Linked DNA regions of Macaca mulatta. The protein of the gene in region 1 binds, or shares a complex with, the protein of each later gene. Links are inferred from orthologs where the notes say so. Each region holds a gene or a part of one and is shown in the gene's direction. Other genes may lie near its edges. The genes, in order: CEP290 and TMEM237.

Region 1 (10,599 bases):
GGGCCATCATGCTGGGCCAGTGTTACATTTTTAATCAAAAGATATAGCAACCAGAGGCTGTTATTCTTGTTAGTTGTAACCTGATTAGAAAACTCTGTAATTTGAAGTATTGTTCAGTAATCCAGTACAGCATTTAAATGCCTATAGATGAATTACGCTGCTGATCAAAATTAGGACGCTGAGAAAAAGTACTAGGAAGTTATTAGTACATCTTTAATAACAATATTTTCTCTTGTATTTATATGTAACTTTTCACGTATTCTTACATTATGTATGTTGGGAATTATAAAAACGTACCCTTTGTCTGAATCAGTATTATGTTATTTGCAATGGAAGTTAAAAAAACAGTAGCAGCCAGGCACGGTGGCTCACAGCTGTAATCCGAGCACTCTGGGAGGCCCAGTCAGGCAGATCACGAGGTCAGGAGTTTGAGACCAGCCTGACCAATATGGTGAAACCCCGTCCGTACTAAAAATATAAAAATACAAAAATTCGCCAGGCATGGTGGCACATGCCTGTAATCTGAGCTTCCCAGGAGGCTGAGGCAGGAGAATTGCTTGAACCCGGGAGGCGGAAGTTGCAGTGAGCCGAAATCGCGCCATTGCACTCCAGTCTGGGTGACAGAGCGAGACTCCATCTCAAAAAAAAAAAAAAAAAAAAACCCAGTAACATACCCACTGTTATTTAGTTACATTTGGATTTTAAGTTTGTTTGATTCTAGGTTTTTTCTTTTACAATTCTTTGGTAATTATTTGTATTAAAGCAAAGTTACATTTTTGTAGATCTCATGTGCCACTGTGTTAACACTTTATTTAGTAAATTGTGATTTTTAAATCTGTGATAACCTTCATTGGAAAAATTTGAAACTTACTACAAATATATATTTTTTTAAATATTAGGCACAGTCTGATGAAAAGGCATTGATTGCCAAGTTGCACCAACATAATGTCTCTCTTCAACTTAGTGAGGCTACTGCTCTTGGTAAGTTGGAGTCAATTACGTCTAAACTGCAGAAGATGGAGGCCTACAATATGCGCTTAGAGCAGAAACTTGATGAAAAAGAACAGGCTCTCTATTATGCTCGTTTGGAGGGGAGAAACAGAGCAAAACATCTGCGCCAAACAATTCAGTCTCTACGACGACAGTTTAGTGGAGCTTTACCCTTGGCCCAACAGGAAAAGTTCTCTAAAACAATGATTCAGCTACAAAATGACAAACTTAAGATAATGCAAGAAATGAAAAATTCTCAACAAGAACATAGAAATATGGAGAACAAAACATTGGAGATGGAATTGAAATTAAAGGGCCTGGAAGAGTTAATAAGCACTTTAAAGGATACCAAAGGAGCCCAAAAGGTAAACATTTAAACTTGATTTTTTTTTTTAAGAGACAGGGTCTTGATCTGTTTCCCAGGCTGGAGTGTAGTGTTGCAAACATAGCTGGAACTCCTAGGCTCAACTGATTCTCCAGCCTCAACCTCCTGAGTAGTTGTAGCTGGGAGTACAGGGCACCACACCATACCTACCTATTTTTAAAAAAATTTAAAGTTTTTTTGTAGAGACAGGGTCTCACTTTGTCACCCAGGCTGGCCTCGAACTCCTGGCTTCAAGTAATCCTCCTGCTTTGGTCTCTCAAAGTGCTGAGATTACAGTCATGAGCCACTGTGCCCAGCCAATTTTAAATTCATTATCTTCAAAGAGTTACGTGATAATTTCTTAATATGTGCCTATATGAAAAATGCGTAAGATACAATTAAATTCCAATTATGATTCATTAATTTAGATTTTACAACTTAGCAGTGTTGGCTGTTTGAATGTCTATTATTTGTAAAAATAAAATTAGGCTTTTCTAACCAAAGATTTTAGTGGGAATGTTCAGATTGTATAATAGCAAAGAATTTTAAATACTGTAGACAAATTTCTATTAATTAAACACTAATTATTCTTAAACATTGTAGTAGTTATCAGTTGATTTCTACTGTTCATAATTATCTTTGATCTACAATTAGTGAGCCCACATTTATTTTTAATATGGTTTTATCTTCATTTAGAAATAATTAAATGAAAAGTAATTATCTTTCAACTACATCCTATTCGCTAGGCTAGAAACATTTAGGATTTCTGTTTTTGAAAGTGATATCAAAGTTTCAATGACCTGCTTATAGTCAGTGTTCAATAAACATATAACAGAAGAAAGTGAATATTAGTGATATCCATTCCAACATAATTTGAAGATTTTTATTGTAAAATCCCACATATTTGTAGAAATGTCTATGGAAATCCTAAATAAAATTTTGTCAGGTAGCTTGAGAAAAGATAACATTGTGTCTTGTTTTATTTTAGAATGCCCATTACTTTCAATTAAAATCATTATCATCAATGGAGGAATGTTATTTGTTGACATAGCATTTACATTTGTATATATAAATTGTAAATCTTAGGTAATCAACTGGCATATGAAAATAGAAGAACTTCGTCTTCAAGAACTTAAACTAAATCGAGAATTAGTCAAGGATAAAGAAGAAATAAAGTATTTGAATAATATAATTTCTGAATATGAACGTACAATCAGCAGTCTTGAAGAAGAAATTGTGCAGCAGAACAAGGTTTTATTTTATATTTATTTTGTTTTTTTCCTAAGATTTTAAGCAAGAATATTGCACTAGTGACTATGTTATTCTTCTAATTAAGTGTACTTTCCATTACTAATTGATTATGTAATAATTTGTTTTTTATTTTCTAAACTATTCTAAAAATTCATATTTATTTAATTTTTATAACAGTAGTCTTAATCTTAAAAAGAGCAATACATAAGCAACCTCATTTGGTAAGTTAATTTTTATTTTGGTATTGGTTATTTGACTTTTCACAGTTTCACGTTTCTACTGGCTCTCACTGATAGAGTAAGAAGGCAGCTTGTTATAGAATAAAGTATATGCTTCAGAGACAGATGAAATTCATCAAACATATGACTGTCTCAGAGATTGTTCCCTCTGCTTAAATTGTTCTTAGCCTAGATACCTTTGGTATTTACACTTTCAGTGCCCGCAAGTCTTGGCTTAAATGTCTTACCTTATCAGTGTGTCCTTCAACAGCCACCTAATATACAACAGTAAATCCTACTATCAAGATTCCCTTGAGATTAATTAACTTAATTTTTCTCCATAGCGCTTGTAACCTTCTGACATATTACCTACTTACTTTTTTATTGTTGTCTGTCTTTCCTTCACTAGAATGTAAGTTCCCTGGTGACAGGGATTTGGTTTTGTTTACTGCTATATTTGCACTGCCTAGAATGATGCTTGGCACATGATATATATCATTAAATATCTTTTGCATAGCTGGATGCATGGATGCATGGATGGATGGATGGATGGATGGATGGATGGATGGATGGAGAGATTGAAATCCTTACTTCACATCTGCCTTTCTCTGTGATCTTACACAAGTTACTTCACCTCTCTGAGTTTGTATTTTTTTCCACAAAAGGAAAATAATTACAGTATCTTCAATGTGTTGTGAGGATTACATAAGAAAATATATATAAAATGCCTGTTATGTGCCTGATGTCTTTGTATATATGTCTGACATAAATTGTCTTTCTTTTTAGTTTCATGAAGAAAGACAACTGGCCTGGGATCAAAGAGAAGTTGACCTGGAACGTCAACTAGACATTTTTGACCGTCAGCAAAATGAAATACTAAATGCAGCACAAAAGGTATGAATGATGAATCTTGTTTGCTACTCTGTAGCATAGACTAGAGGGTTAGCTCACAGAAATGATTCCTGTATCAGATGTAATTTTAATTGGTTGTTATATTGTCTATTTAAAATATGAGTGATTTAATCTATATTTTATCATACAGCTATAAATATTAATAGTTACTCTCAATGCTGCCACTGCTTTGTTAAAAAACATACTATTTGTTAATAGTTTGAAGAAGCTACAGGATCAATCCCTGACCCTAGTTTGCCCCTTCCAAATCAACTTGAGATGGCGCTAAGAAAAATTAAGGAGAATATTCGAATAATCCTAGAAACACGGGCAACTTGCAGATCACTAGAAGAGGTAATTAGAAGAATTTGCATTTTGATTATTACTTGGTATTATTTGGTATGTTTGGGGGGCTTTCTAAATAATATTTCTTTATGAGGACAATGCATAGAATGATGAATCTCTTGCTAATTTCACTGTTTTTCTATTCTCCTATAATGTTTCTAATAGCTGATAATGAACAGCAGATATAGTTAATTTGAATTCACTATTTAATTACTTCCTGTTACCTTTAGGTACACTGAATATGAAAGGAAACAAAAAGCATTTAATTGTAGCTCTATGAGCAGTATATTATCTTCCCTTATATGATCTCTTTATTCTTATTTTTTTGGTTTTCCTTTGAAGTGCATGTTATATAATCTATGAATCAGTTTTCAGTTCATTCCCTTTTATAAACTTCAGCCCTTTAAAGGGCTGAAGGTAAATTAGAAATTACTTTCTGTTTTAACCTAGTTCTTGAATTTGATTAGTAGGTGATCAAATCTGTCATCTGCATTAAATTATTCAGAAAATAATGTAAACTGAATATGATTTTCATTTTAGTTTTCATCTAAATATATTAACTACAAATACATTTAAAAATATACATAAAGGAGTTTTCAAGTAAAACTGTACATTTTTAAGTAAAACTTAGATCTTCTTCAGTAATTGTAAGATTTGTCATTTATGTGAATTGCCATTGAATTACTTAATTTAAAATACCCACCTTAATCCTCTTGAAGAGTAAAAATGTTTCTGATTTTTTCTCTTTTGTTTTAATAAGCTGCAGATTTTATAATAGTAATTTATTGACTTGGGCCACTAAAATTCCAGTTTTGTACTTAACTGACTTATAGATTAGTCTTCTAATGCTCTGCTAGTCAATGGACCAAAATAAAAGAAATAATTTATTACATATTCTTCCTAAATCTCATACCACCACACTTTTATAGTTCTTAACTGTAATATCTTGATAAAGTACCTTAATTAAATTTTATTTTCATCATAACAATGAAGTTTCTAACATATGTAATATTCTTATAAATAAGCATGCAAATAACTGTTGTCAATTAGAATTAGTTTAACCTTATTAAATATCAAATGGCTATTGTACATATGATGTGAAAAATAAAGTGAATTTTTTTTTTTTTTTGCTAATAACTAATCTAAAATTCAGATGAAGGAAAAAAAGATACTTTAATTATCTATTGTGATTTAATCATTGCAGAAACTGAAAGAGAAAGAATCTGCTTTAAGGTTAGCAGAACAAAATATACTGTCAAGAGACAAAGTAATCAATGAACTGAGGCTTCGATTGCCTGCCACTGCAGAAAGAGAAAAGCTCATAGCTGAGCTAGGGAGAAAAGAGATGGAACCAAAATCTCACCACACTTTGAAAATTGCTCATCAAACCATTGCAAACATGCAAGCAAGGTTAAATCAAAAAGAAGAAGTATTAAAGAAGTATCAACATCTTCTAGAAAAAGCCAGAGAGGTATTTTATTATGAGTTATACTGTTTCATGTATTAGTTTTTTTAAGCAAATGCTAAATATTTTACCTTAAAGTGGTAGTTATTTTCTTGCTTTCAAATGATTCTATTTAAGAACTGTGACTTGCATGTGATTGGATTACACCTCTATCAGTAAAACTGGCAGTTTGTGTAAATGTATCTCTCTTATACACTGACTAACTAAACCAGGAGTAGCTATCATGGTGAAATCACATGATTTTGAAAAATATTTTAATTTAGTTTATAGGTGAGGGTTGAGGCAATAGGGGGGAATGAAATATATCACACTGGTAATCAGTAGAAATCAGATTTGTTAGAACTTTGTGGGGGAAAGCTGACATTTAATTTTTTCTAGAAATAAGTTAAAAGATGATAGATACGTGTTATTCTAATGTTCAGAATAAATTATGAACTGAGGCTGGGCCTGTCAACTTGAACACTGTGCGAGGGAACATGCCTACCGGTCTAAATACATACATATATGGAGATACTGTTTCTTCCTCATCTCGAAGGAATTTTAGAAGATTAAAGAGAAAATATATAAGGTCTTCAAAATGTGAATTTATTTTAATCACAATTTAAGATATAGTTTTGATTTTCTTTAAAACAGGAGCAAAGAGAAATTGTGAAGAAACATGAGGAAGACCTTCATATTCTTCATCACAAATTAGAACTACAGGCTGATAGTTCACTAAATAAATTCAAACAAACAGCTTGGGTAAGATTCTAAGAACTTTGTTCCATTCTTTATTGATTTTTAGACCAAATACATTAAAATTCAGTTATCTTCTCCTTTTTTGGAATACAAGTTACGCTTTTTGTTGCCAAAGTAATCTTCTGAAAATGTAGCTCTGATCATTCTTCCTCCTGTAGCTCATCACTGTTCACAAAATTATATTTATACTCCTTACCCATATACTCAATCTTCTATGAACTTACCTGCCTTTCTTTTCAAATTCTATTCACTATAAGTTTACCTATATTTAACTTCCGGAATTCAGCTCATATTTGCCTCTTTTGACCATTCTGTTCCATATGTATGAAATGATGTGTCTTTCATCTTTTAATGTATAACCTTAGCATATTTGAGCCTTACTTCATTAATTCAGTCAACATTTATTGATCTCCTGCTACATGTAGACACTTTGTTAGCTATTGTAAATACAAAGAATAAGGTCTATATTTCCTGTCTTCTTTAAGCCTTCATTATCTGTTAAATCATTAAATTTTAGATTAGATATTGTATTTTGATCATTTGAAGAACCAATTTAAAAATATAGAATAAGTATGGCATTGAAATATACATGCCTGTTTGCTAATATATTCATATTTTATAGGATTTAATGAAACAGTCTCCCACTCCAGTTCCTACCAACAAGCATTTTATTCGTCTGGCTGAGATGGAGCAGACAGTAGCAGAACAAGATGACTCTCTCTCCTCACTCTTGATCAAACTAAAGAAAGTGTCACAAGATTTAGAGAGACAAAGAGAAATCACTGAATTAAAAGTAAAAGAATTTGAAAATATCAAATTACGGTAAGTCTTCAAAATGTATTGTAAAAATAGGCAAATGATAATAATGATATAATGAAGATAAACATAAATGTTTGCTATGCTAGGCACTGTTCTAAGACTTTTAAGTATATTGTCTCATTTTTATCCTCAGGTCTACTGATTACATATGTTATCATTTTCCCCATTTTATAGAGAGGATATGACCTCAGGAATGCTTAATAGCATGCCTGGGAGTAGATGGGAAAGCCATAATTTGAAACTAGTCAGTCTGACTCAAAAGCCAATACAAATTCTTTTCCAGAATCTCATTTTTACCTTATTCAAACCTCAGTTTCATCTTATTTATTTATTTATTTTTATTGTTTTATTTATTTATTTATTTTTTAGAAAAGTCTGGCTCTATTGCCTAGGCTGGAGTGTAGTGGCATAATCTCGGCTCACTGCAACCTTGACCTTCTGGGCTCAAGCTATCTTCCCACCTCAGCCTCCAGAGTAGCTGGCACTACAGGCAGGTGCCACCACACCTGGGTAGTTTTTTGTATTTTTGTGGAGACAGGGTTTCTCCATGTTGCCCAGGCTGGTCTCGAACTCGTGAGTTCAAGTGATCCGCCCACTTCGGCCTCCCAAAGTGCTGGGATTACAGGCCTGAGTCACTGCACTCAGCCTCATCATCTTTAAAATGGAAATAGCAGTACTTACCCTGGCCCTTTCAGGGTGGTTATATGAAGGTCAAATTATACCATGTATGAAAGTAATTTGAAAACTGTCAAATAACATACAGATAAAAAGCTTTTGTTTGCACACTTATAAGAGTGTCTGGCATATAATAGAGATTCTAACATTGTTCAACCAATTTATCAGAACATAGATTTTAAGCTCAAAATAGGTTTATAGTTTCGTAGTTTCTAAACATTGTAGTATTATCTGTATGGGCCTAAATTTTATTATCTGAGAAAACATGAGAAAGTTGAACTACTTGACTTATAATTCCATTTCAGCTCTCAAGCCCCTATTAGAGCCTTTGATTCTTTACACTCTTATTCAAATGCCTATGACAGAATTAACACTATTTTTGCTTTGCTAGGGAGCTGCCACTGTTAAGAAATTACTTTCTAAAAGAAGGAAAATTGGCAGCAGCATATGTGTATTTTCAGTCTCTTTTCCTTGCTCTATTAAATTTTGTACATGAGATGTTATTTTTGGTCTAGTAAATTTCTGTCATGTTTTGGAGTATAAAATGACTTGTGCTTTTGCATCCAATTTGTGGGTGTAGAAAATCATAATCTTTTGAAATACCTTATATAATTTTTTTTTCCACATGAAATACTTGAAGTTATTGTTGTGTACCTTATCATGTCATTGTAGCCCAAAATTGTACTTGTGTTCTCTGTGTGCCTATTTTGATATATATTAGGAAATTATGGATCCGTATGATTACTTAAGTAAAACCTGATATTTTCACAATTTGATGATGACTCTTTAAAGTTAGACTTAAGTTTTGCCAAAAGCAAGAAGCCTCAAAGAATAACATTTGTTCATGTGTTAATGCTATCTCCCTCTTACTGGTCAGAACCTCAGTACGGATGCAGTGTCCATATGCACAACAATATATTAATTCAGTTTAACAGACTTAATGCTGAATGAGCAATAAGATTAATTGAATTAACTAAATCTTTTAATACTATCCACTTCCATATATATATATAGTTACAGATACAATGCTAGTGAATTTGTACCATAAACAAATAAATAATACATGTGATTTCTGTGAAAATTTATATTAGTCTTTTCAATATGTCAATATAGGGCAGTATTTCTCAAATATAGAGGATCAGTTTTTCACAGTTGTACCTCTTGGGGACATTTGACGATGTCTGGAGACATTTTTGATTGTCATGGCTAGGGGGTGCTACTGATATGTAGTGGGTAGAATCAAAAGATGCTACTAATCATCCTATCATACACAAGGCAACCCCACCAACAACAAAGAATCATTCACTCAAAAATGTTACTAGTAGTGTGGTTAGGAAACTATCATATAGAGGAAGCAGTCAAATTTTACAAGAGCCATAGTATCTAAAATGCCCTTTTGTTCATTCTCTATATTATTTGATTAGAGTCACAAAATAATTTGATAAGATTGTTGCCAAAAATATTAGAAACTAGAAGAAAAACGTGTTGTTAAGTTAAAGAGTAGTTAAGTGAAATAAAGAATTACTCTTCTCTGGATTTGGCTGCCTGCATCAAGATTTAGATTGTAAGGATAGTTAGGACTGAACATTTGCCCTGTGTGAAATTTGTATTAATCAAGGTATTAATTGCAGCAACCACTCTATTAATTACATGTTTTTGGCCAGGTGCGGTGGCTCATGCCTCTAATCCCAGCAGTTTGGGTTTATCAGCCGAGGCGGGCTTATCACCTGAGCTCATGCGTTCAAACTGGCCTGGCCAACATAGTGAAACCCCATCTCTGCTAAAAATACAAAAATTTTGGGGGCCTGATGGTGCACACCTGTAGTCCCAGCTACTCAGGAGGCTGAGGCAAAAATATCACTTGAATCTGGGAGGTGTTGGTTGCAGTGAGCCGAGATTGCGCATGTGCACTCCAGCCTGGGCAACAGAGTGAGACTGGGTCTCAAAAAAATTTAAAAAAAAAAGAAACACACACACACACACACATATGTTTATTTACATCAGGCTCCAAGAAAACCATGAAGATGAAGTGAAAAAAGTAAAAGCAGAAGTAGAAGATTTAAGGTATCTTCTGGACCAGTCACAAAAGGAATCACAGTGTTTAAAATCTGAACTTCAGGCTCAAAAAGAAGCAAATTCAAGAGCTCCAACAACTACAATGAGAAATCTAGTAGAACGACTAAAAAGCCAATTAGCCTTGAAAGAGAAACAACAGAAAGTAAGTAACAACAGAAAATTATCAACATTTAGGAAAAATGTGTGGTAGATTGCTTTTAGAGAAGATTTGTAAATTTATAAAAGATGGTAGTATAAATCTCTGTGTTGTAATAAAAAGTATGAGCTTTATCTTATGTTGTTAAACAGGGTCTTTTAGACAATTCTGTTAAATGGCCTTATTAAATGCTGTTTTGGGGGGCAAATATAGTCCAATTTATCTTTTTATGCTGTCAATCTGATTTTTGAATTATCTGTATGAAATGAGGAAAAATCTTAATGTATATTACAAAAATATACATATAATATACATTACATTGTATTTTCTTTTTTTCTACTGGGATTTTTTGCTACTGAGGCTATTTTTAACAAATGAACAATTTCGAACAATTTGAGGGATTGAAGGAAGTATTATAATGACAAAAAGGAAAGATGAAAAAGGGGGTCATAGAGATGGTTTTGTGGGAAGGAGTTGGTCAGTGTATTCTGATTTATTAGGTTTTCAGTTTATCTTAGATTTGATCTATTTAAATTGTTTTAGAAGGTGCTGGTATTTTTCTGTGCTAGCTCATGAAATTTATGGGTAAACTTTAAGCCTTTCCTAGTCCTTTTGTTGTCTACCTAAATTC
Region 2 (10,599 bases), on another chromosome or scaffold:
AGAAAATTTAAAAAATTAAGATTGTACTTAAATAAAAAAACTTCAGAGCCATCTCTTAAAAAGAGGAACACAAATAGAATATATAAGTAGCAAAATTAAACATTAAGGATATTTAAAAATTAAAGATAATGAAATAGGCTATTATGATTTATTTTCTTATGTTAACAGAATTCAAACTATGATTATCTCAGCAATAAGTAAAACTGTGTTTTAGCATTAAGATAAAATGAGTAAAGTATACTTTAAAGAAATAACACTGGAAGGCATATATATAGCACTATTGTTTGTATTTGAAAATGAACCTACAAATAGTGATCAATGTCTGTGTTAGTCCGTTCTCACAACACTAATAAAGACATACCTGAGACTGGGTAATTTATAAAGGAAAGAGGTTTAATTGGCTCACAGTTCAGCATGACTGGGGGGGCCTCAGGAAACTTACAATCATGGTGGAAGGTGAAGCAAACATGCCCTTCTTCACAGGGCAGCAGGAAGGAGAAGAATTAGAGCTGAGTGAAGGGGGAAGCCCCTTACAAAATGATCAGATCTCCTGAGAACTCACTATCACCAGAACAGTCCCTTGACAGGTGGGGATTCTTACAATTTAACATGAAATTTTGGGTGGGGACATAGCTAAATCATATCAGTGTCTACAGAGAATCATACAATTTTAAATTTGGAAAGAAGCTTACAGATTAGTTCAGTCACTTCAATTTTCAAATGAGAAAACTGAAGCCCTCAGAAATGTAAGTGACTTGCTGCACATAATAGTTAATAACAGATTTATTTGAGTAAAAATCAAATTTCTTAACTCCAAGTCCAGGGCTCTTTCCATTATATTTATAGCTAGTTCCGTATGTAAGTCTGTGAGTATTCAATAATCATCCATTTTTCATATATACTTCTTTATTACAGGAAAACCCAACCAGCAGAATTACAGTATGCCAATGAGCTAGGAGTAGAAGATGAAGACATTATCACTGATGAGCAAACTACTCTGGAACAGCAGTCTGTATTCACTGCACCCACTGGCATTAGCCAGCCTGTAGGCAAAGTATTTGTGGAAAAAAGCCGTAAGTAGATGCCTTGTTTTAGAATATGAACTCTTAAAAATTGTACAAGGATATCCTTTATACTTCTGGAAATCTGAATTAAGGAATTAAGCAAAACTATGTACAACAATTTATACACAAAACTAGTCATCATGCTATGATTCATGAGAGTGAAAAACTGGAAACAACCTAAATGTGAAATAGGAGAGGAATGATTTCAGTAAGTTGTGGTGTATCTATATAATAATATTCTTCACCATTAAATATCATGTTTAGGGAGAATTTTTCATTTTATGGAAAGATTCTGATAAAAGAGCATGTACACATGTGTACACACACACAGAGTTTGATCTATACATAGGACAAAAGACTTGAAGGAAATAGGCTCAAATATTAATGCTGGTTGTTTCTGGATTTATGGGGTTATGGGTAATGTAAAGATCTTCCCCACCCCTGCCTGATTCTTTATTCTTTCTTGTACTTTACCAGCTTCCTGCAATTGGTAGTAGTTGTGGTGGGACAGATAATGATATAAATTCTACATCTGAAAATTAGAGAGAAAATACATGATGATACTATCATATTAAATAAGAAATACAACATTATAGCTGTATATTCTTTTGGAAAATAGTGCTGACATTGTATAATGTATACTGGCTACGAGACTAGGTTTGTAGTGTATTTTAGCTCAGGCTGCTATAACAAAATACCACGGACTGAGTGACTTAAACCACAGACATTTATTTCTCACCGTTCCTAAAGCTAGGACGTCCAAGACAAGGTTCCAGCAGATCCGGTTACTGGAGAAGGCCCCTTCCTGGCTTGCCAGTGGCTGCCACTGTGTTGTCATGTGGCAGAGAGAGTTCTGGTGTGTCTTCCTCTGCTTAAAAAGACACTAGTCTCATCATGGGAGCTTCGTCCTCATGACTTCATCAAAATCTAATTACCTCCCAGTGACCTCACACTCACTGGGGGGTTAGGGCTTCAACATATGAATTTTTGGGGGACACATTCAGTCTATAACACAGTGTTTAAGAAAAACCTACTCAAAGCGTGATCATGACTGTATACTACCATGGATATGTTAAGGATATGCTGCCTAAAGAACTCATCTAAAACATAAAGGTTAGTCCTTAAAATTTACAATTTAGATTTTGTCTACATTGTTTTAGAACTCTACTTCATAAGATCCCATCTAAAGGATCTTGCAGTTCTTGGCCAATAAGAAACCTGTGGTCTCTGGCTGACTTACCCAGTGTCTCACAGTTGGTTAGGGTGGAACTGGGACTTGAACTGTGGTTTTATGACTTCTAGTCATGTGGTTTTATTCATCTACCATGTGGCCATTTAATTTACTCCAGTTCTTTTTCAAGCAGTATCACTTAATCCTCATTTTTATTCTTATTTCACTTAGCATAGAAATTTCCCTGCTAGAGTAACTGGCCATAACTGGCCATAAAAGGCACCAGTGGTTCTACTGTCTGCCCAGAAGTTGTCTTTTCTTAGGGAAAATTGTCACACCCCTGTCTTTCATCCTCCAAAACACCTGCGAACTGGGTTTGGTGAGGATAATTGAAATGGAACCTTTCCTGCTTCCTGATGTCTATTTGTGGATTACTAGATATACAGGAAGGAGCCTCTGAATCAACAGTAAAAAGGCTAAAGCCCTGCTCATACAATATTGCAGTGCTGACTCTTGAACTGATGTTCTTCACAGGAATGTTCTAAAGAGAAATTTATGAAGCAGCCCATTTCTTTCCTGTCATCCCAGAAAGCCATGCTACACATCCTGACATCTTTTTCTAAGAAATTTAAAGTAGTTTTCAAATATTGACTTACCTTGGTAGTATAGGCATATAAACTTTAATACTTCTAAAGTCTCTAAATTAGAATTTTGTAGACTAGGTCATGTTAAAGGTTTCTAGACTTTATTCTGGTTGAAAGTTCATTATTTTTTATTAAATATAATTGATTTCTGAAATTGTTACTTCACTTTGGATTGAGAAGAAAATACACTGACATTGCTTATTTTTCTTCAAGATGAAAAATTATGTTTAAGGAACCCAAAGTAAAGATCTTTCTGAAATAGGTGCTGAGTCAAGGAGAATTTTCAGATAGAACAGCAATATTTCAGTCTTAGTTTGCAGCTTCCTGAGTGTGGAATTAAAAAAAAAAAAAAAAAAAAAAAGAAAAAAAGAAAGGGCTACCAGGGTTCTCTCTCCCTAGTTGTTAGTAATTACATTATGTGTTCTTAGGGAGATTCCAGGCTGCTGACCGTTCAGAGTTGATAAAGACCACAGAAAACATAGATGTGTCAATGGACATGAAGCCTTCCTGGACCACCAGAGATGTGGCACTTACGGTGCACCGGGCTTTCAGGTGGCTGCTTTTGTTGGACTTTTCTTAAAACAAATGTTAACTGAGTTCCGTAATTAAAGAAAAAAATAGCCTATTGGTTGTTCAATATGGTTAACGAAATGACCACTTAAAATGGTAGGTAGGTGTATTTTTTTTTTTTTTTTTTTTTTGAGACGGAGTCTCGCTCTGTAGCCCAGGCTGGAGTGCAGTGGCCGGATCTCAGCTCACTGCAAGCTCCACCTCCCGGGTTTACTCCATTCTCGTCTCAGCCTCCCGAGTAGCTGGGACTAGAGACGCCCGCCACCTCGCCCGGCTAGTTTTTTGTATTTTTTAGTAGAGACGGGGTTTCACCATGTTAACCAGGATGGTCTTGATCTCCTGACCTCGTGATCCGCCCGTCTCGGCCTCCCAAAGTGCTGGGATTACAGGCTTGAGCCACCGCGCCCGGCCGGTAGGTGTATTTTTTAAACATCCTATTGGAATTGAATGATCTACCTATCAGTGTAACTAAAAAGAAAGAGCTTGCTTTTACTTGTCATGAAATGTTGAATTTTATTCTTGTATATGAAGAGATTTTAAACATGTTTTAGCTTTTTACTTTAGTAATTCATGTATAATAATCAAACCCTTTACCATTCAGGATGATTGGTCTCTTTTCTCATGGATTCTTGGCTGGCTGTGCTGTGTGGAATATTGTTGTGATATATGTTCTAGCAGGAGATCAGCTATCCAACCTCTCAAACCTTCTGCAACAATACAAGACTCTAGCGTATCCATTCCAGAGTCTTCTGTACTTGCTTTTGGCTCTGAGTACAATTTCAGCTTTTGACAGGTAATGCCTGTGACTCCAGATCTGTCTAACTTCTTCAGAAGGAAATGCTGAGCAAAATGTGTCACTGACCATGACAGTTTTCAAAATAGAATTATAGAGTATCAATATTACTTCAAAAAGTTTTAAGGCCAGTCTACTTCTGTTCTTTTTTGAGGGGATGAGACTGTTGTAAACAAAATATTCCCAAAAGACTTCACCCATTCCAGCATCAGTTCATAAGTCCAAAATTTCATCCAAATGTAGTCAACTCAGAAGTTCCTAAATATCATCTAAATCAGGTATAGGTAAGACTCAGAGCATTTGTATTTGTCTCCCAGCACTGCTGTAACAAAGTACCACACACTGGCTGGCTGAAAACAGCACATTTATTCTCTCGCGGGTCTGGAGGTGAGCAGTCTGCAATCAGGATGTGGCCAGGGTTGAATTCTTTTTCGAGGGCTCTGAGGGAGAGTCTGTTTCATGCCCTTCCCCTCACTTCCAGTGGTTGCTGACAATCCTTGGCTGTAGATGCATCATTCCAATATTTGCCTCTATCGTCACACAGCGCTTTACCCCTGTGTATCTCTGTATCTATATCTCTTCTAATAAGGACACCAGTCATACTGGATTAGGGTTCATCCTAATGACCTTATCTTAACTTTATTACATCTGCAAAGACCCTGCTTCCAAATAAGGTCAATTCATAAGTACTCCAGGTTAGTTCAACATATCTTTTTGGGAACACAATTTAACCCGTTTAAAAAAAAAAAACCCACCTAATTAGAGCCTAATGATATGGGCAATAGAAAGAGGTAGAAACTAATGAAATTTTGTTTATCAAGTTTAAGTTTCTTTAGAATGTCTTAACCCCAAAGGAATGTTGTCCAAAGTAGTCTAGTTAGATGTTTTATGTGGCCTTTGTAAATAAGATAATTTTGTCATATGTGTTATATATACACTGTAGCTACTTAAAACCTAGTAATAGTATATGTGGTAGCATTAGAATAGAGAAGGAAAAAACTATTGTCAAGAAAGTAAAGTTTTGTTAAAAAGTTTACAACTGCACTGTGACAAGAAGCTTTTATATTTTCTAGGATTGACTTTGCTAAAATGTCAGTAGCAATCCGAAATTTTTTGGCCCTGGATCCTACAACTTTAGCATCTTTCTGTGAGTAAACAGTTTAACTTGGTAACTGTGTAATACTTGAGTTATACCATAATTTTGAACCAGGAAAAATGTTAATTTTTTTTTTAAAGTTGTATTACTGCTCCTTATAAACATTACCTATAGATGGTCAGTGAATTTGTAATTAGAAACATAATAGGCATAATGTTGATAGAATTATTTTTCAATAGAGGTTCATCTGAATAACTTTGAAAAGCTTAATTTATTGTACTATATTACTTACTTTTTAACTTTTGTATTTTCTACTTGACATTAAACAGATTCAGATGGTACAGCCTTTTAATAACAAACAGTATTTTATATCTTTCTGATTATTTGGAATGCATTTTGTTCTAAGTTTTGAGAATATTAATAAAACTAATTTTAGGACCTTGAGCAAGTCATTTAACTTTTCAAAAGATCTAGGTTCTTGTCAGTTCTAATGATGAAACAGTGAATGTCTCAAAAGATCCTTCTGCACCTGTTGTTCTCAAAAATTTATATAAGGATATCTGGCCTATTGAAATATGTTTATTTGGTAAAATAAATTTCTTTTATATCAGTCACCAAAGTACAGATTATTTTCGATATTAATCTATAAATTCAAAATAAACCAGGTTGTTAAAAATTATTAGTAATTTCATTTATCTTTTTTTCAGTGTACTTTACTGCTCTTATACTATCTCTGAGTCAGCAAATGACAAGTGACAGAATCCACCTTTACACACCTTCTTCTGTTAATGGTAGCCTCTGGTAAGAATTCACAATGACATTAGCAATTGTTAATGGCAATAACAGCAATTTTTCGTATCCTTCCATTCTTTTTCATCTACAAATAATGAAGGCTCTGTTTTTGTTTCCAAATCTATGGCAAGAAAATACTTATTCCTTTGGTTAATGGGTAACTATTGTTATATTCACCTGCATTTTTAAAGAAATATCTTCCTTTTAAAAATCTGTTTTAGATCTTCAAGTTATAGTTTTTTCTTGTTTGTTGCTGTTGTTGTTGTTGTTGTTTTTTAAGATGGAGTCTCGCTTTGTCACCCAGGCTGGAGTGCAATGGCTCTATCTCGGCTCACTGCAACCACCGCCTCCTGGGTTCAAGCGATTCTGCAGCCTTAGCCTCCCGAGTAGCTGGGATTACTTAGGCACCCGCCTGGCTAATTTTTGTATTTTTATAGAAATGGGGTTTCACCATGTTGGCCAGGCTGGTCTTAAACTTCTCATCTCAGGTGATCCACCTGCCTTGGCCTCCCAGAGTATTGGGATTATAGGTGTGAGCCACTGCGCCCAGCCAAGTTATAGTTTTACAATAAGTCATCATATGATGGACGGAAGGAGCCCTGCATTCTTACCCACTATCAGAGAGTTTCATACCCCAGAACAGTGATAGGAGTGAGTAGCTGGGATAGATTCAGAAAACCAAGCAATGCTAGAAAGAGCAGAATAGGGAGAGCCAACATCTGCAGATCGGTGGCCAGCCATGAAGTTGACAGGATAGCTGAGATTCTAGTTCATTAAACTCAGAGAAGCAATCTTTTTTTTTCCCCCAAATGCTGAATGTGGCATCCAAAAGTAGTCTTTTTTGAGAGAGTGGCTAGGGACATTAGGTAAAGAAAAAGCAAATATACTTTATTGATGAGTAATGTCATGGTAGTTGGAAGGAAAACTTTTAGAAAATTTTCTTGGGAATACTAACGTTGCATTTATATGAATGTATAGAGCAGATCTGTTTAGAGTTTAACCTTTGAACCCTTGTTCTCATTATATATGTGGTATATTTTACAGGGAAATTATATTTTCTTTCACGCTTTACTTGTTATTTCTCTAGGAGATGACTGCTGTTTTTTCTTGAAGTTCCTAAAATAGATATATTTGTATATATGAACCAAACTGAAGGTACTTCTAATGAGTATTTCTACCTTTTTAGGGAAGCAGGAATTGAGGAACAGATTCTCCAGCCATGGATTGTGGTGAATCTCGTGGTGGCTCTGCTGGTTGGATTATCTTGGCTATTTTTGTCTTATAGGCCAGGCATGGATCTTAGTGAAGGTATTAAAGAAAAAAATAGTATAAGAATATCCTGAAATCTTCTATAATGGTTTTATAAACCTCCTTTTAATATGTATAGCTTATAATATTCCAATCACAAAGACACATTTAAATTAAAATAATACAAGCAGAGAGAAAATAAAGTGGTGTAACAGAATGCCAAGAGAAGCAGGGAGGAGTGCCTAGGAGGGCTGGAGTCTGGAACTACTTAGTGAGGGGCGTCTGTGGCCCTTGTGCATATTCAGGAGGTATTTCTTCTCTTGGAACCCTTCAAGTAATTTAGAAAAAGTCTTTGCTCTTTACTTCTCTTAGTTTCCTGCTGATGAAAGTATCTCTTAATTTTGAAATAAATCATGCTTCGTCTACATAGCCTTTCTGTCAGACACATACTCAAGTTAATTATTCTTACCTCCTCTATTTGGTACAAATTCGTAACTCTTCATTGTCTAACACAGTGTTTAGTACTCTTACTTTTAACATGCTCAGTGTGCAGTGATTCACTCATCTCTAGTTCCCAGACCCCTTCTGGAACACCTGAAGAAGAATCATCATATTAGCGAACTGCTAAACTTTTATGCTACTTGAGGAACTTTTTAGTATTTGTATTGTAAATTGTGTTTCCTTGGGCAGTGTTCAACAGTTTGACCCTTGAACATCTTTTATGGATATTTTCTCGACCTTGGTTATTACTTTATTTTTGATTTGATCAACTATTTACAACCCATCTGCCTCAGAAGCCTTAGCATGGAGAATTTCGCCAACATCTATGCTAAGTAATAGTTTAAATGTAGAAAATGTCAGCTAATAACATTCTACATTGTGGTTGGCATCAAAACTGCATCTGGATTTTGCAGTATTCAGTCTAAATCATAAAGTGTGTGTTACTTAGTATTTCCAGAATCCTGTTCTTTTAAGGCCATGTTAGTCATACAACATGTAGATTTTAAAAGTAAGTATAAAATGAGTGATAATACCTGGCTTATTGGGTTGTTTTGATGATGAAATGGGATGACCCATTTAAACTATCCTGGCACATATCTCTTGTTAGTTCTAGGTCCTTCCTCTGTATCTGTCCCCTATATTTTAGATGATCTCATCACTGTAGAATTAGACCTTTTAGCTGTTTAATGATCTTTGATTATCTAAGTGACTTAAATTTCCAGGTAGGATTTTGTATATTGTCCCTATTATGTTTTACTTTTAAGGGGTTCATAATTTAAAATTTAAATATTTTAAAATGTAAAACTTGTACATTTGTTATCAGCTTACCTTTGAAATCAGATTTCACTGTCAAGAAATCTATTGAGGGCTTTCTATGTCAATTTTTAAAAGACTATAAATAAGCTATACAACTCTGTTGGAGGCACTGGGAAACAATTTTATGATCTGTTCATTTTCTTCTCCAGAGTTAATGTTCTCCTCAGAGGTGGAAGAATATCCTGATAAAGATAAAGAAATCAAAGCCTCTTCATAATACCAGCTAACCTTTGGAAGAATAGTGACTCAGTATTTGTCCCACTTTTGTTTTTAAATGTATTTTTATAAGATGTATACATGTGTATTTGTAATAGATTTTTTTTGATTATATAATACTGAAACATCTCTCAATACTATGAAAAATGTTAAAATTGTATTTGTTATTTATGTCCAAATATTAATTTGTATAGCATTATCATCTTAATGACAAAGGGAATAATGAACTAGAAACCAGCAAGTGAAAGTGTTTATTTCCTATTTTCTCAAAACAGTTGTATTTATAACTATTATCTTAAAAAAGCACTGGTTGAGAAAAAGCCATAACTTAAATAGTGTTATAAAATATATATCAAGTTTAAACATAAATTTAGTGAATATGGTAGAAGGGGAAAAAAGCCTTCATTTTTGACCTCCCCTTACTGAATAAATTGAAATATGAAATTTATCTTTTCTGAAACTGGCTTAGTGATTGAGTATCATGTAATAATTATAATTTAGCTTTAAAGATGCTTTACATCATGGCCAATAAAAAGGGAATGTATCTTCTGTTTGAAGAATTTTATAACGTAAAATTTTTACCTAGAAGTAACTAAAAAGTTGCTTCTTACTATAATTTGTACTACTGGTTCTCATATCTGGTTGTACATCAGGATCATAGAGGGAGCTTTTAAAAAATCTATGTAGTAAAAGAGGCTGAGCAGGGCAAGACTCGGGAATAAAGGAGAGACCTGTGAGCTTGTGGGCTCCCAGTTGACATCTGCAACATTCCTGTGTCTCTTTTTTTTGAGTGACAAGAAATAGGAGTGGAAATTCACCATCTCTGTACTCCAGCTCTTTGTCAGACAGGTTTCTGGCTTTCCAGGAAATCCCACTCTTGAGATAGGGTCCTGCATTGGAAAAGATCTCTTCAGAACTATATCCAGTGGTACCTCAGCTGTTGTGTGTGAGACCCTAGAGCTCAAGATGAGGAGAAGACTAGTTATGGGAAAAAATGTTTCAAAGGCTGTTAAGCACATCAATAAGACTATTGGGCCTACCTTGATTAGCAAGCAACTGAATGTTACGGAACAGAAGAGGATTGACGAATTGATGATAGAGATGGTTGACCCTGAGAATAGGTCTAAATTTGGCGTGAACTTTATACTAGGAATCTCTTTTGCTGTTTATAAGGCTGGAGCTGCCGAAAAGGGATTCTCCCTGCTGTCACAGAATTGTCAATTTGCTGGCAATTCTGAAGGCATCCTGCCAGTTCCAGCTTTCACTGTGACCAGCAATGGTTTTCATTCTGGCAATAAGCTGGCAGTATAGGAGTTCATAATCTTCCTCGTCAGCAAACTTCAGGAAAGCCATGCTCATTAGAGCCAAGACTTAGCACACTTGAGCAGTGTCATCAAGGAGAAATGTGAGAAAGCTGCTGCCAATGTGGGGGATTGTGGTAGGCTGTATAATGTCTCCTAAAGATGTCCATGTCCTAATCCCTGGAACTTGTGAATATACTACTTTACATGGCCAAAGGGATTTGCAGATATGATTAAGGTTATGAACCTTAAAACAGGGACATTGTCCTGTATTATCCAGAGAGGTCCAGTGTAATCTTATGAGTCCTTAAAAGCAGACAAGAAAGCCTTTTATGTCTGTGGTCAGAGAGGTCATTGCTGGCTTTGAAGATGGAAGAGGGGGCCATG

The links.
Region 2: CEP290 (region 1) and TMEM237 share a complex: the UniProt entries of both Homo sapiens proteins name them as parts of the tectonic-like complex. The link is inferred for Macaca mulatta from reciprocal best matches to the Homo sapiens genes CEP290 and TMEM237.

Annotation. Positions count from the first base shown.
Region 1 is NC_133416.1:95,326,715-95,337,313, reverse strand, and holds part of CEP290 (centrosomal protein of 290 kDa), read left to right. Parts: intron 1-899; coding exon 900-1,355; intron 1,356-2,440; coding exon 2,441-2,605; intron 2,606-3,609; coding exon 3,610-3,717; intron 3,718-3,933; coding exon 3,934-4,068; intron 4,069-5,263; coding exon 5,264-5,530; intron 5,531-6,157; coding exon 6,158-6,265; intron 6,266-6,884; coding exon 6,885-7,084; intron 7,085-9,760; coding exon 9,761-9,974; intron 9,975-10,599. UniProt on the Homo sapiens protein: Involved in early and late steps in cilia formation. Its association with CCP110 is required for inhibition of primary cilia formation by CCP110.
Region 2 is NC_133417.1:106,770,725-106,781,323, reverse strand, and holds part of TMEM237 (transmembrane protein 237), read left to right. Parts: intron 1-915; coding exon 916-1,073; intron 1,074-3,307; coding exon 3,308-3,431; intron 3,432-4,050; coding exon 4,051-4,242; intron 4,243-5,315; coding exon 5,316-5,389; intron 5,390-6,045; coding exon 6,046-6,139; intron 6,140-7,316; coding exon 7,317-7,438; intron 7,439-8,844; coding exon 8,845-8,912; 3' UTR 8,913-10,599. UniProt on the Homo sapiens protein: Component of the transition zone in primary cilia. Required for ciliogenesis.